2 linked regions of the Neodiprion lecontei genome follow. The protein of the gene in region 1 binds, or shares a complex with, the protein of each later gene. Links are inferred from orthologs where the notes say so. Each region holds a gene or a part of one and is shown on either strand. Other genes may lie near its edges. The genes, in order: FACT complex subunit spt16 and FACT complex subunit Ssrp1.

Region 1 (5,078 bases):
CCTCAAGGAAGCTCGAGACCTGCCTTGAAAGAAGGAGGCCAATACGGCTACTCTGTCGAGGAAGGTCTATGAAACGTGAAATCAACCGACGCAACTTGACAATGAGAGCCAAGCGGATTAAGTTATATTTAAATATAGCCGAGTGGCGCTTCGATCAGCAGTTTTACCACCATAAGCAATCACATATCCCTAAATATGTCTTCCTTCTGGAAAGGAGAGCCAAGTTGTGACTATGAAACGAGGACGCCGCTGAGATTTAATGAAGCCTTCATCAAGGCGTCCTTTATCCTTGAGATAAGGAGGGACTATGAATACGGGTGTTAGCTACACTCGAGAAGCCGACGTACCTCCCCAGCAATCCCTAGTACACTACCGTAGTTCTGTTTACACTCGCGAGTGTAGAGTGTAGCTAGCACGAACAAACCTGATAGCTCTGTTCGTTTTAGTTACAATTTCTACACTTTTTACACTTTCCTTAGGAAAGGGCACCTTCCATTGGCTAAATTCAGGGTAAGTGTAAAAAAAGTGTAGAAAAGTGTAACTAAAACGAACTGAGCTACATATACATGTGGGGTATGTTCCGACATACACTGCGAGCACTGTAAGGTGTGACGTCAATTTAGTATACTGCGAAGCCGGTCCTTTATAGTTAGCTATACTGGTTACTGTTTAAACGGAACGCAGTACAGTATACTGTGATCGACATTTTTTGGCGTTACTTTCATTTCATACATCATATTTGTTTCACACTGCAATAAACACAATTTATTCAAATTTTCCATATTTGTTTTTAACGACCGGTATTTTTAAATGACAATATTCAATAATAATAATTATCAATAGTGGAAGCTGTTAAATTTCTGAACGCTGTTGATCACGTGAGCAAAGCACTGATAGCACCTTACCTCGAAAACACCAGTGTTCAGAGTAGAAAAATGACGACGATTTATGACGTCATTTATTTCCCTAGGATACTGCAACTGTATACTGTCAGCCTATTGGGAAATCTGCCGGGGGCGTGGCTTCTCCTTGCGGCAGAAGCAGTAACTATTCTAAAACGCATTTTTAAATCAGCTTTCGTGTTCTTATGTGAAAGCGTGTATTTATTTACAGTTATTAAACTCGAATTTTCAAAAAAAATTCAATAAAATATGAAAATTTCAATACAAGAAATTTGTGAGTTTGCAAATACTCAGCCTAGTCATAAAAATTTTATTGGTGGTAAAGATATACTTGATGCGGGACATCTAATGAAATGTGGCCTACAGCAATCAGATACTAGTTGTGATAATGAGTATAAAATAATTGCATTCTGTCTCCAAACTTCTCGTTTAAAAGATCCACCGCATGAAGTTGTGGGTGCAATATCGCAACATTGGCTGCAATGGAAAATAAAATTTAATGTTTATTGTTTTTTATTTTTTCTGACAAATATTACACTACAAAAAATATCATTTCATATTGATGATAAACAAGTAATTATGAAATGAAATTCTATAGGTAATTACTTACATGTTGGTATGAAATCATTTTTGGCGAAATGTAATGAAAACACTTTTTTTGACTGTGTAACCTCATTCCCAATTTTCAATGCTTTTATCCAAGCTAATCGACGATCAATTACTTCATCTTCACCAAATTTATTTTTGATTACTACAAAACTAGAATTTGCCGAAGGAAAAGTGTAAAATCGAACTGTATTGTTCTTACTAGACTTGCTATTACACCCATACACGCAGCAGAAAGTTTTATTTTTATTTTCTCGTGGTGGAAACTCCATGATTAAATTTTTTGATCAAATATTGAAATTTAAGATGTTTTTAAGTAATAACTAAGCTTATAGATAATAATTGATTACTTAATATTTAAAAAAAAGTTTAACACTTTTAAACTACATTTCTCACATATTATATTTGATATCAGCAGTTTAAGCTTGACCTGCATAGAGTAGTTTATATTTGATCCGTCAGGTAGCGTATCTGAGTGGATGATTTCCCAATAATGGACCGAATTTCTCCCCAGTAAGACCACTGAACAGTGCTCGCAGTGTATATCGGAACATACCCGTGGTTGTTCCGGTCGGATATTACAGGGCTGTGAAAAACGCCTGTAAAAGCCACCATAACCACATTTCCGGAAATTCGGAAGGGATACAAGCTGCCCCTTCTTTCATATACAAACTCTCAGGCTTTGGTTGTAATCCCGCCATGTCCGCATCGGAAGTCGGAGTTTGAGCGTGCCGTCGGAATTTTGGAATCTTGGTAACACAAGTATGCGTGATGAGTTGAAGTTGAACGGTGTACCGTGAATGTTTCAACAAGTCTTATCATTCTCGCCTTAATTCAGAAGGAGTACGTCATCCTTCACATAATAATTTATTGTGTACAAAGATCAACCTAAAAACTTTGTACCATGGCAAACGTATCTCTTGATAAAGACACATTTTTCCGGCGAATAAAACGCTTATACGCAGCGTGGAAAGTGAGTATAACGATGTTAGTCTCGTTTTGAAAACTTTTACTTAATACATTGGCCTTTATAAACATGTCTACTTCTTATACAGGATGGTGAATCCGGCACGGATGATAGTTTTGCGAAGATGGATAGTCTCGTGTCGGCGGTCGGAATTGACGAAGATATTGTATACAGCAAGTCTACAGCCCTCCAGGTATGATACTGATCATATAACTAAATTTATCAATTATCCATTCTATATTTCTAGATGTATAACTATCATAAATTGTTTTACAGAGTGTACAAAAAATTAATGTAAACAAACGATTGAATCCAAGTTGTAAACATTGTATTATTCTTGCTTAATTAATAAATTTGGCGAAACCTAGAGTTCATGGCATTTGGAAGCACAGTATAGTCAATTTAAGGTTCAATTTTGGCCAGACCTATTTTTAACGTTATTGATAGTTTGAATTCGTCATTAATCGTAACCATTATTTAACGATCTTATGATATTTGTATCATTTCACGAAAGGTGTCTCTGGTTTGCTGGTCTGTTATTGACTGCAATTTTCATAATCTTGTCATCCGGCTACGTATACTGATAAAAAGAATTTTATCAAGTCAAAGTTTATAATGTCAATGTAAAACTATGTTGAGAAAAATCTCTATTTTGCAAACTCAACTCCTTCGAAGTAATTCTAAAGTTCCAAAACATGGTTCTTTATTCTTCAATGTTTTGTTGCATCAACAATGCAAACTACAATCTTGTAGAATTTTGATGTCTTCGATCTTTCACATCTTGAAACATCAATCTTTTCAATAGTTCTTCATGCCGCATATCTATAAAATATTTAAAGATGCATGGAACTTTTTCAGACTTGGCTACTTAGTTACGAGCTCACCGATACTATTATGATATTAGCTGAAGACTCGATCAATTTTCTTGCCAGCAAGAAGAAGATTGAATTTTTACGTAGTGTAGAAAATCAGAAAACTGAAGACACTGGAGTCCCTCCAGTAAAATTGTTTGTTCGTGATAGGGTGAGTAATTTAACTGTAGCATTTATTTGGAATTGAAGTATACTTAGCTCGTTAGATTCTGACCATCTAGACTAAGCATTATTTATTTAAGATATGGTCATAATCTAATACCATAAGCAAAATAAATTCTATCTCACAATGAAACTCACTATTGATAAATAATGTTACTCGAGAATATCCTGGTTACACTTAAATAAGATATCGAACAATATTACACTATGAAGATCAAAAGACATAGCAGTAGTGCAAAGTAGAAAGCATGTAAAGAGACTTCATTTTTCATGTTTTATCGCATTTTTAATTGTTAGCAGTAAGCCTTGAGGTCTGGTTGGTATATTTTAGTGCGTTATTATTGATCATTTTATTTCAAATGCATTTTAAAATTGAAATAAATTTCTTAATCTGAAATTACATTATTTGTTATATAGACGGACGAGGATAAAGCTAATTTTGCCAAGCTAATCGAGGTAATAAAGAACAGCAAAAAGGGCAAAACTCTGGGAGTTTTTTCAAAGGAACATTACCCGGGTCCATTTATGGATTCGTGGAGGGCTGCTTTGAAAGCAAAATCCTTTGAAACAGTATGCTAATTTAATTGTATTCATTTAACCTAAATGCTTGAATTTTTTCTGTAATTTTATTTGTCAACTTTTTTTCTATTTTTAGGTTGACATCAGTGCCGCAGCAGCCTATGTAATGTGCCCAAAAGAAGACATGGAAATATTAGCTATAAAAAAAGCTTGTCTAGTATCGGTAGACGTTTTTACAAAATACCTGAAAGACCAAATTATGGAAATAATTGATTCTGATAAGGTACTGGAGTTTTTTTTTTCGAAAGTACACCTGAATCTAAATGACAAATCCTTCGACGTGATGAAACATTATTATGTTTATTCATAAGCTTGTGTTTTACAGAAAGTCAAACATTCCAAACTGGCTGAAGGAGTAGATGCAGCTATAACAAACAAAAAATATGTTACTGGAGTCGATTTGACGCAAGTTGATATGTGTTACCCTGCAATTATTCAAAGCGGAGGCAACTACTCTTTAAAGTTCAGTGTTGTCAGCGATAAAAATACACTTCACTTTGGTGTTATCGTCTGTTCCTTAGGAGTTCGCTACAAGTCTTACTGTTCCAACATAGTTCGAACACTTCTGGTGAACCCAACGAAAAGTATCGAGGTATAGAGTAAACTTCAGCGAATTTTCTGTATCAAATATGTTGTACTACTATTTGTTATCGAAGCCGTCATTTTTTCTCAGGACAATTATAACTTTCTTCTTCAATTGGAAGAGGAAATATTGAAAAAATTGATAGCTGGTGCAAAAATCAGCGAGGTATATGAGACTGGCCATCAATACGTCAAGTCAGAGAGACCTGAGTTATTGGACCATCTGACAAAAAACTTTGGATTTGCTATGGGCATTGAATTTAGGGAGAGCTCTTTGCTACTGGCTCCTAAAACGAATTCATTGGCTAAGAAGGGAATGGTTTTTAATATTAATATCGGTCTTTCCAACCTTGCAAACCCTGATGCAACTGAAAAAGAAGGAAAAATTTACGCCCTGTTTTTAGGAGA
Region 2 (7,813 bases), on another chromosome or scaffold:
ATGACGTAAATATGTGACAATCTGCGCTCTTACATATCATGCAGGAGTTCCAAGGCTCTATGTACACATGAAAAAAAGAACACAACAATATCATGCAGCTTATTACAGTCACACATATTTACACTGTCGAGAAAAAATTTTCTTCAACAAAAACGAATCAACACGTTTCAAGTTATTATATCTGTTGAATCAGTTATTTTGTTTTTAGAACGTGTTAACTTATTTCACTAACCTATGATTAATATAAGGAAGTTTTAGAGTGAAGAAACCACTGAAAAAAACCACAAAAATATTTCACTGCAATGTTGATTCATGATTAATCGAATTTCCAGAATTTCATAACAAGAAGACAAATAAGTTGAGGAAAATTTTTAGATATGATAGTATAAACCATATATTAAAAAACAGAAGATGGTATACTATTATAGTGCACTTACCTGGAATTTTTCAAAGTTCTCACGTTCCAATTCGAGGCTAGTTTTTCTTTGCTGTAGAACTCGCGGCAATGACAGTGAAGCCATGTCCAAGTGAAAGAAAGAGCCTGTTGTGTTTAAATAGCTACTACCTATACAAATAGGTTATTCTTCAGTGACACTACATAATACTTGGTTCGAACGATGAGACATCCTGTTCTCTTTATTATGACTAATGTACTCTTTTACCAACTTTTACGTATACGGTCATATGCACAGACGACGAACGTGTTGCGTATGTGCATACAATATATGCGGAAATGCCTAATAACGAAGTATAACCATTTTAACCTAAGCTATTAATCTACCTTCGGGTTACAATCTATGTACGAAGCAAAAATTTTAACCAGCGAGTCTTAATGTACTCGATGTTGTTTACTTTCTCCTTTTCTTTTATCAATGAACACTTCTCGAATTGAAAATGACAGCTAAGAACCGCATACGCAATATAGAAAACAGTATAAACGGACGTTCCACCCATCCACACTTCCTTCCAAAAACAGATCCGTTCACGCGAAGGTGGGGGCTCAACTCATCGTAAAAGAGTTGTCGCAAGGGGGGCCGGTGGGTGGTGGGGATCATCCGGATCATCCATGTCCCAAGAGTAAGAAAGCCCACAATCATATGGGCCGATGTCTGTGGTATTGACCATAGACTTATAAAAGAGATAGACGACTGACTGCGCGGTATAACGAGGCCGCTGAAGCCCAAACCAAAGGACAGATATAGTCCTAGGCACGGTCTTACATACAGGTCTGACAACTCGGTCAAAATTTCAGTGGTGAGGGTGTCCTCTTATTGAAGCACCGATCGTTTCGCCTAGTGATCACGAGTGTTGCTGCAATTAAACATGTTTCCGTCTCTCTCACACAGCCTGCATCCCTCTATCGCAGCGACACTCGTGGTCACTAGGCGAAGCGATCGGTGCTTCAATAAGAGTACAAAAAAACCCCACCACCGGAGTTGCCAGACCTGTATGTAAGACCGTGGTCCTAGGTACAATACATATGGAACACTAGCGACGCTAGTGGTACGAAAAATAAACCTAATGTGAACGACTACTGTGACAAGGATTGTCAATTCACCCATTTGAGTCGTGCTTCTTGTGTAGTCTCCGTGTTCTGTAGTTACAGGATTCCTGTGTAGTTTCCGTGTATTTCTTGCAGGAAACGACAGCAACCAGTGGCAGAAGCGGCAGTAGCTGAGTTTGGATTTAGAAAGTCTCGACGTTTGAAGAACGGCGTGCCGTTGTTGCCGTCAATTGCGTTGTGCCTTTGTTAATACTAGTGAATTGTGCGCTGTAAAATTATGTTAATTAGTGTTTCAACCCTGATGAGAGTTTGTATTTGACCTTATAACGTGTGTATTTTACCAGAATTTAGATACGTAAATTAAAACGTGTAGGGATGGATTTCCTCGAGTATTCTGATATTACCGCCGAGGTAAAAGGCGTCATGGTACGTAACCTTAAAAGAATTTTATGTAAACACTCTACGAATAATTGTCTTGATTATACCCAGGCAATTAGCAAAGATGTTAAAACACCTCTGTGAATCTAGAACTGATTAGTTTTTGGAAATAACTTGAGAATTTACGAAAAACCTGCGTTTTTTATCAATTTATAATCTACGTCCAAATTAAGTAGTACTCGGATCATATTTTTATCTAATTTAACCTTTTTTTAGTTTATAGTTTATCTGCCAGGAAAATTTCTCTTTATCAATGATTATAATACACACATGCAGGTAATGATTTCATTGTCTTGTTCGTTCACAGACTCCAGGAAAGTTGAAGTTGACTGACCAACATTTGATATTCAAAAATCAGAAAACAGGAAAGGTTGAGCAAATTTCTGGTTCTGATATGGAAATGGTCAATTACCAGAAATTTGTTGGAACCTGGGGCCTTCGAATATTCCTAAAAAATGGAACGTTACATAGATTTCGAGGCTTCAAAGATGGGGTGAGATTGCTTGTTTAATTGTTAATGACCCAAAAATTTGTAAAGAAGCTCTTTCAACATTAATTTTACTTAAAACTAAAGTCATAAAATTTTGAAACGAGTTAATGCGATCTTCTTAACAGTGATTGAATATGTCCTAGATTAATGTGTGAATTTTTATATTCAGGACCAAGAAAAAATAGCCAAATTTTTTACTTCAAACTATCAAAAGGATATGTTGGAAAAGGAACTCAGTTTGAAGGGTTGGAACTGGGGAACTGCAAAATTCAATGGTTCAGTGTTAAGCTTTGATGTTGGACATCACACTGCATTTGAGATTCCTTTGTATTACGTTTCACAATGTAATACAGGAAAAAACGAAGTTACTCTAGAGTTTCATCAGGTACAGCCTAAGATTATATACTTGAAATTCATTTATTTGTGTATTTTATAATACTGAGTTATATTAATGATGTCCTTGACAATCTTGTTTTTTGATAAGAAATGTGTACTTTCTTACGTTTCCTAGAACGATGATGCGCCGGTAAGTCTAATGGAAATGAGGTTCCATATTCCTATAAGTGACAGTGCCGAACAAGATCCTGTCGAAGGATTCCATCAGCAAGTGATGAGCAAAGCGTCGGTCATCAGTGTCAGTGGAGATGCGATCGCTATCTTCAGAGAAATTCATTGCCTTACGCCTCGGTAAGCTCTCCAACCATCCAAGGATTCGACCATTTGTAACAGCTTTCCAATTAAATTTACTACTTGTTTGCAGTGGTCGTTACGACATCAAGATATTCCAGTCTTTCTTTCAACTTCACGGTAAAACATTCGACTACAAGATCCCTATGTCTACTGTGCTCAGATTGTTCTTACTGCCTCATAAAGACAGTAGGCAAATGTTTTTTGTTGTAAGTTTTAATAAGTTGATTTGTTTGCCACGATTATATAATTTGCAAAATACTATTTTCTTACTTGTGAAGATAATGAAACTAATTTAGTCGCCTAAAAAAAAGTTAATTTTCTAACTCTGAAGCATTAGATTGGATTAAATTTTAACATGTATATGAATTTTTTCTTACAGGTCAGTTTAGATCCGCCCATCAAACAGGGGCAGACACGTTATCATTATTTGGTACTGTTGTTCAGTCAAGAAGATGAAACGTCTATTGAATTGCCATTCACAGAGTACGTATAGTATGGATGAAGTTGAAGTTCTTAACGTTAATGTAACAATAAATATGTCGCGAAAATCGGTGTTTCACAACTTTAGAATTGTATGAAATGCTGTAGACCGCAATGAAACATAGTTTACTGGTATTTTTCGAGTGAAATTCGTTTTTTTCAATGATTTGTTACCATAACGTTCGAACTCGTTAGTCTGCTGTACAGAAACCAAAGACTTATTATTTTCTTAGATTGAATCTGTCAGAATGCAAGCTGCAGTAATAATTACGTCATAAGCATTTTAATTGGATCATTTGTTTTCTATATAAATAGTCTCATAATATACATATAAATATTTCAAATAATTCACTAATGAATAAAATCTCTATTATAGATCAAGTAACTTTTATTGTTTCTTACAGGAAAGAGTTGGAGCAAAAATATCACGACAAATTAACTAAAGAGTTATCTGGTCCAACTTATGAGGTTCTTGGCAAAGTAATGAAAGCTATAAGTGTCAGAAAACTTACTGGACCTGGTGGCTTTGTTGGGTGAGAAACTGTTTGCAAACACTTCGAACTTATTGGGTGATTAGTGAAAATAGTTTTAGTGTTCCAGTTGTATAATTTACGTATCGCGTTTCTTTCTGCAATTAGGCACTCAGGAACTCCTGCAGTTGGTTGTTCGTTCAAAGCTGCAGCTGGTTACTTGTATCCATTGGAAAGAGGTTTCATATACGTTCATAAACCACCAATTCACATACGTTTCGAAGAAATTGCTTCGGTCAATTTCGCACGTGGCGGTGGATCAACGAGATCATTTGATTTTGAAATCGAATTAACGAGTGGCGTTACTCACACCTTTAGCAACATTGAAAAAGAGGAATATGCCAAACTCTTTGACTTTATCACATCTAAGAAACTGCGAGTGAAGAACAGGGGCAAAACTGTGAGTAATTTATGGCTGACAATAAAATATTCCCGTAACATTATGTCTGCAAATCAGTATTTACTACTCCTGAACACGAAATATTGAACATTGATTGTACCAAAAAAATTGTATAAATTACGTTGGAGATATTTCTGAATCGGTTATGACTAACCTAAGATCGTTTTTCTTGGATTACAGGACAAACCGAAGTACAACGACGACTTTGGCAACAGCGATCAAGAGGATGAGCCTGATGCTTATTTGGCAAGAATTAAAGCAGAGGTAGAAGAGAGAAGTGATGATAATCAAGAGTCTGAGGAGTCAACCGATGAAGATTTCAATCCTAACCAGGTGACTCGTCTTAATCAATCAAAGTTTACTTTCTATTCATTAGTCACTCCTTCAATAATTCTCGCATCTCTAACACATTACTGTACATAGCTACTTCTTTATTCCTTCATATATACTGGTAATTTTTTTTTTAACTTCGGTATTTTTGAATTGACTAGGATGAAAGTGACGTTGCTGAGGAATATGATAGCAACGTGAGTGCATCTGACAGCGATGCAGATTCAGATGCTTCAGGTGGAAGTGGAAAAAAAGAGAAAAAAGAAAAGAAAGAGAAGAAAGAAAAGAAGCACAAGTCTGCTAAGACTGTTGTGAGTAATAAAATAGATTTGTTTCGTTAACTTAAAGCTTCATTTCAGGTGATAAAATTATGCCTTTGTCTTATGATTTTATTAACAGTCTGAAAAGCCACGAAAATCACGTAAACCAAAGAAGGAGAAAGATGAGAATAAGCCCAAGCGACCGTCCACTGCTTTCATGTTATGGTTGAATAATACTCGAGAGGAGATCAAAGCGAAAAATCCTGGAATTGCTGTGACTGAAATCGCAAAGAAAGGTGGTGAAATGTGGCGAGAACTAAAAGATAAATCTGTAAGTACCGACTTATGAGTTTATAATATTCGGTTATTGCAAGAATCAGTTAAGAGAAATAATCACCACTATCCAAATGTGACGCATTTCGTATCGTCGGTTTTTTTACACAGGAATGGGAACAAAAAGCAGCTAAGGCTAAGGAAGATTATGCAGTAGCTATGAAAGATTATGAGGCCAGCGGCGGTGCCGCGGGCACGAAGGTTAAAGAAAGTGGTAAAGAAAAATCAGACAAGCAAAAGAAAGAAAGTAAGAAAGAAGTCTCTCCTAGTAAACTTATGACAGGTGGCGCTTTCAAGAGCAAAGAATATATCAGTGACGAGGAAAGCAGTAGCGGTAGCGGTGATGATTCCGAAGATAAAAAGGTAAACTGATCATTTGTTTTGTTAAATATTGAATTGCTGTCGGGTAATGTGCATATATTTAGCAAACTGATGCTTTTTCAGGGTTCATCAAAGAAAAAGAAATCCGATGAAAGTGAAGATGAAAAAAAGAAAGTCTCTGAGGATGAAAGTGATTCGGCGAAGAAAACGAAAAAGAGAGGAAATAAAAGACCTGCTGTAAGAACAATTTTTTTTATTTATAATTTTACGCTACTCAAAAATTTATTTGTGTATTGAGACTGGTCGAAAAGTTGAAACTTGGACATTTTTGAACAGTTTATAAAAGTGCGAATTTTTATAAATACTGAAGTCCGACAAATTGGAAATAAAGAAAATGTTAGATAAAAAAGTGTCTTACAAATTGAAAACTAAATCGAAATACATTGAGAATATTATTGCATTGATCATTCTTTTCAATTTCAGGAAACCGATGGGAAAAAGACGAAAAAAGGGAAGAAAGATTTATCAGACGCTGAAGGTAGCGATGAAGAGTTCGATGAACCCGAAGAAAGTACCCCTGCAACAAGTGACGCAGAATCGGAGTAGTGATCGATTCCAAACTGTAAAGTATACTAATGTTCTAGACCGTGTACCTGTTCCATAACAAGTTTTGTAATCCTACCCTGCAGAAGATCGTCCGTGTCACTTAAGTGTTGAAACGGGAATACTCATCCGTAAAACATTATTGTAATTAGCTGCAGCCAAAGTTGCGTAGCTGTTATGTTACCTTTGCAACAGCATTATACTACATTGTGTTACTAGGGCGTTAAAATGTCGAAAATAAATAAGTACTTTTTCATTATTATGACTGGTACAATATTATTTATTTGGTTCAAGGGAATTCCAAATTTTTCTTTATTAATACACATTTACGTCGATGAAGAGACACGAAATTGGGTCTGTTTGAATGACTTTCAACACCACTAGACCATAAAGTAATTCTAGTGCGGTATTGTTATGAGTGTTTTGCGTAATGCTTTAAATTAAATTGCTCTATTTTAATAATTTATTGTTCTCACTGATATGATATAGGCTGGCTATCATAATCTTTTTCATGATTTCGGGCCTTCAGCAATTGCAATGACCCATTTACGAACCTATGTGCCTAACTGTATAACGCGTTATACGTAACCTTTGTTTCATTTTATAGGCATTTGACAATGTTCGATCGAAATATTGCAAACGCTTTCAGATGAACGGAACTTAATGGCAGCTAATTCAGGCGTTGCGAGCAAAAAAAAGTTGTTTTCATGCCATAGTATGTCAGGAAATATACGGTATACCACATATTACATGTATAAACTAGGATTACTTAAGAAAAATTTTGTGCTTATATGCTACAATTATGTAATTTAAACATTGCTGTACCAACTTTTTTTTACCTACTATTAACCTAATATGAATAGTAATGAAACATCAATCAATCGTGTCTGCAACCTTTATGGTAAAGTTGAATTATTATTATTAGTGGATGTAATGGAATACAGGCAGGAAGTTTAGAATGAAAAAATCGTCCGCCAACCGAGTTTATCATTTCAATTAATTGCGACCATTGGAGGAAAGCTTGTGACAATCACTGGGGCAGCCGTGAGATAACATCATTTGCGGAACTCAGCATTGGGCTGATTTTAAGATTCTACACTCTGGGTGCAGTCAATAAACCGTGACAAAAAATCTCAAGGAAAGAAGTATTACCGCTGTTCATCTCTGGTTGGCTCCACTTAAAAATTTCGAAATCGTTTTTCTGTTTTCGTAAATGCCTATTTGTTTAATACGTGACATCGAAACAAGCCAACAAACCATTTCAAACCACAAGCTCCTAAATGATACGGTATAATTTGGGTCACCGCATTGAGACGTATTTACTACTATATCTTTATCTTTTCTTAAACAGAAAAATGTAAGATCACAAGAGTGCATGTGAGATCGAGTAGGAAACGAATTCATGAATAGGCTTGAATACGATGTGCCAATATA

What was found.
Region 2: FACT complex subunit spt16 (region 1) and FACT complex subunit Ssrp1 share a complex: the UniProt entries of both Drosophila melanogaster proteins name them as parts of the FACT complex. The link is inferred for Neodiprion lecontei from reciprocal best matches to the Drosophila melanogaster genes dre4 and Ssrp.

What each region holds. Positions count from the first base shown.
Region 1 is NC_060262.1:17,193,572-17,198,649, reverse strand, and holds the start of FACT complex subunit spt16, read left to right. Parts: upstream 1-2,060; 5' UTR 2,061-2,412; coding exon 2,413-2,481; intron 2,482-2,563; coding exon 2,564-2,668; intron 2,669-3,333; coding exon 3,334-3,498; intron 3,499-3,926; coding exon 3,927-4,079; intron 4,080-4,164; coding exon 4,165-4,311; intron 4,312-4,413; coding exon 4,414-4,680; intron 4,681-4,761; coding exon 4,762-5,078. UniProt on the Drosophila melanogaster protein: Component of the FACT complex, a general chromatin factor that acts to reorganize nucleosomes. The FACT complex is involved in multiple processes that require DNA as a template such as mRNA elongation, DNA replication and DNA repair.
Region 2 is NC_060264.1:8,687,865-8,695,677, forward strand, and holds the start of FACT complex subunit Ssrp1, read left to right. Parts: upstream 1-1,610; 5' UTR 1,611-1,879; coding exon 1,880-1,930; intron 1,931-2,249; coding exon 2,250-2,435; intron 2,436-2,601; coding exon 2,602-2,817; intron 2,818-2,943; coding exon 2,944-3,119; intron 3,120-3,192; coding exon 3,193-3,328; intron 3,329-3,501; coding exon 3,502-3,605; intron 3,606-4,006; coding exon 4,007-4,135; intron 4,136-4,240; coding exon 4,241-4,532; intron 4,533-4,712; coding exon 4,713-4,865; intron 4,866-5,023; coding exon 5,024-5,173; intron 5,174-5,261; coding exon 5,262-5,453; intron 5,454-5,566; coding exon 5,567-5,818; intron 5,819-5,899; coding exon 5,900-6,013; intron 6,014-6,259; coding exon 6,260-6,382; 3' UTR 6,383-7,813. Other genes in the region: huntingtin-interacting protein 1, read right to left, coding at 438-521. UniProt on the Drosophila melanogaster protein: Component of the FACT complex, a general chromatin factor that acts to reorganize nucleosomes. The FACT complex is involved in multiple processes that require DNA as a template such as mRNA elongation, DNA replication and DNA repair.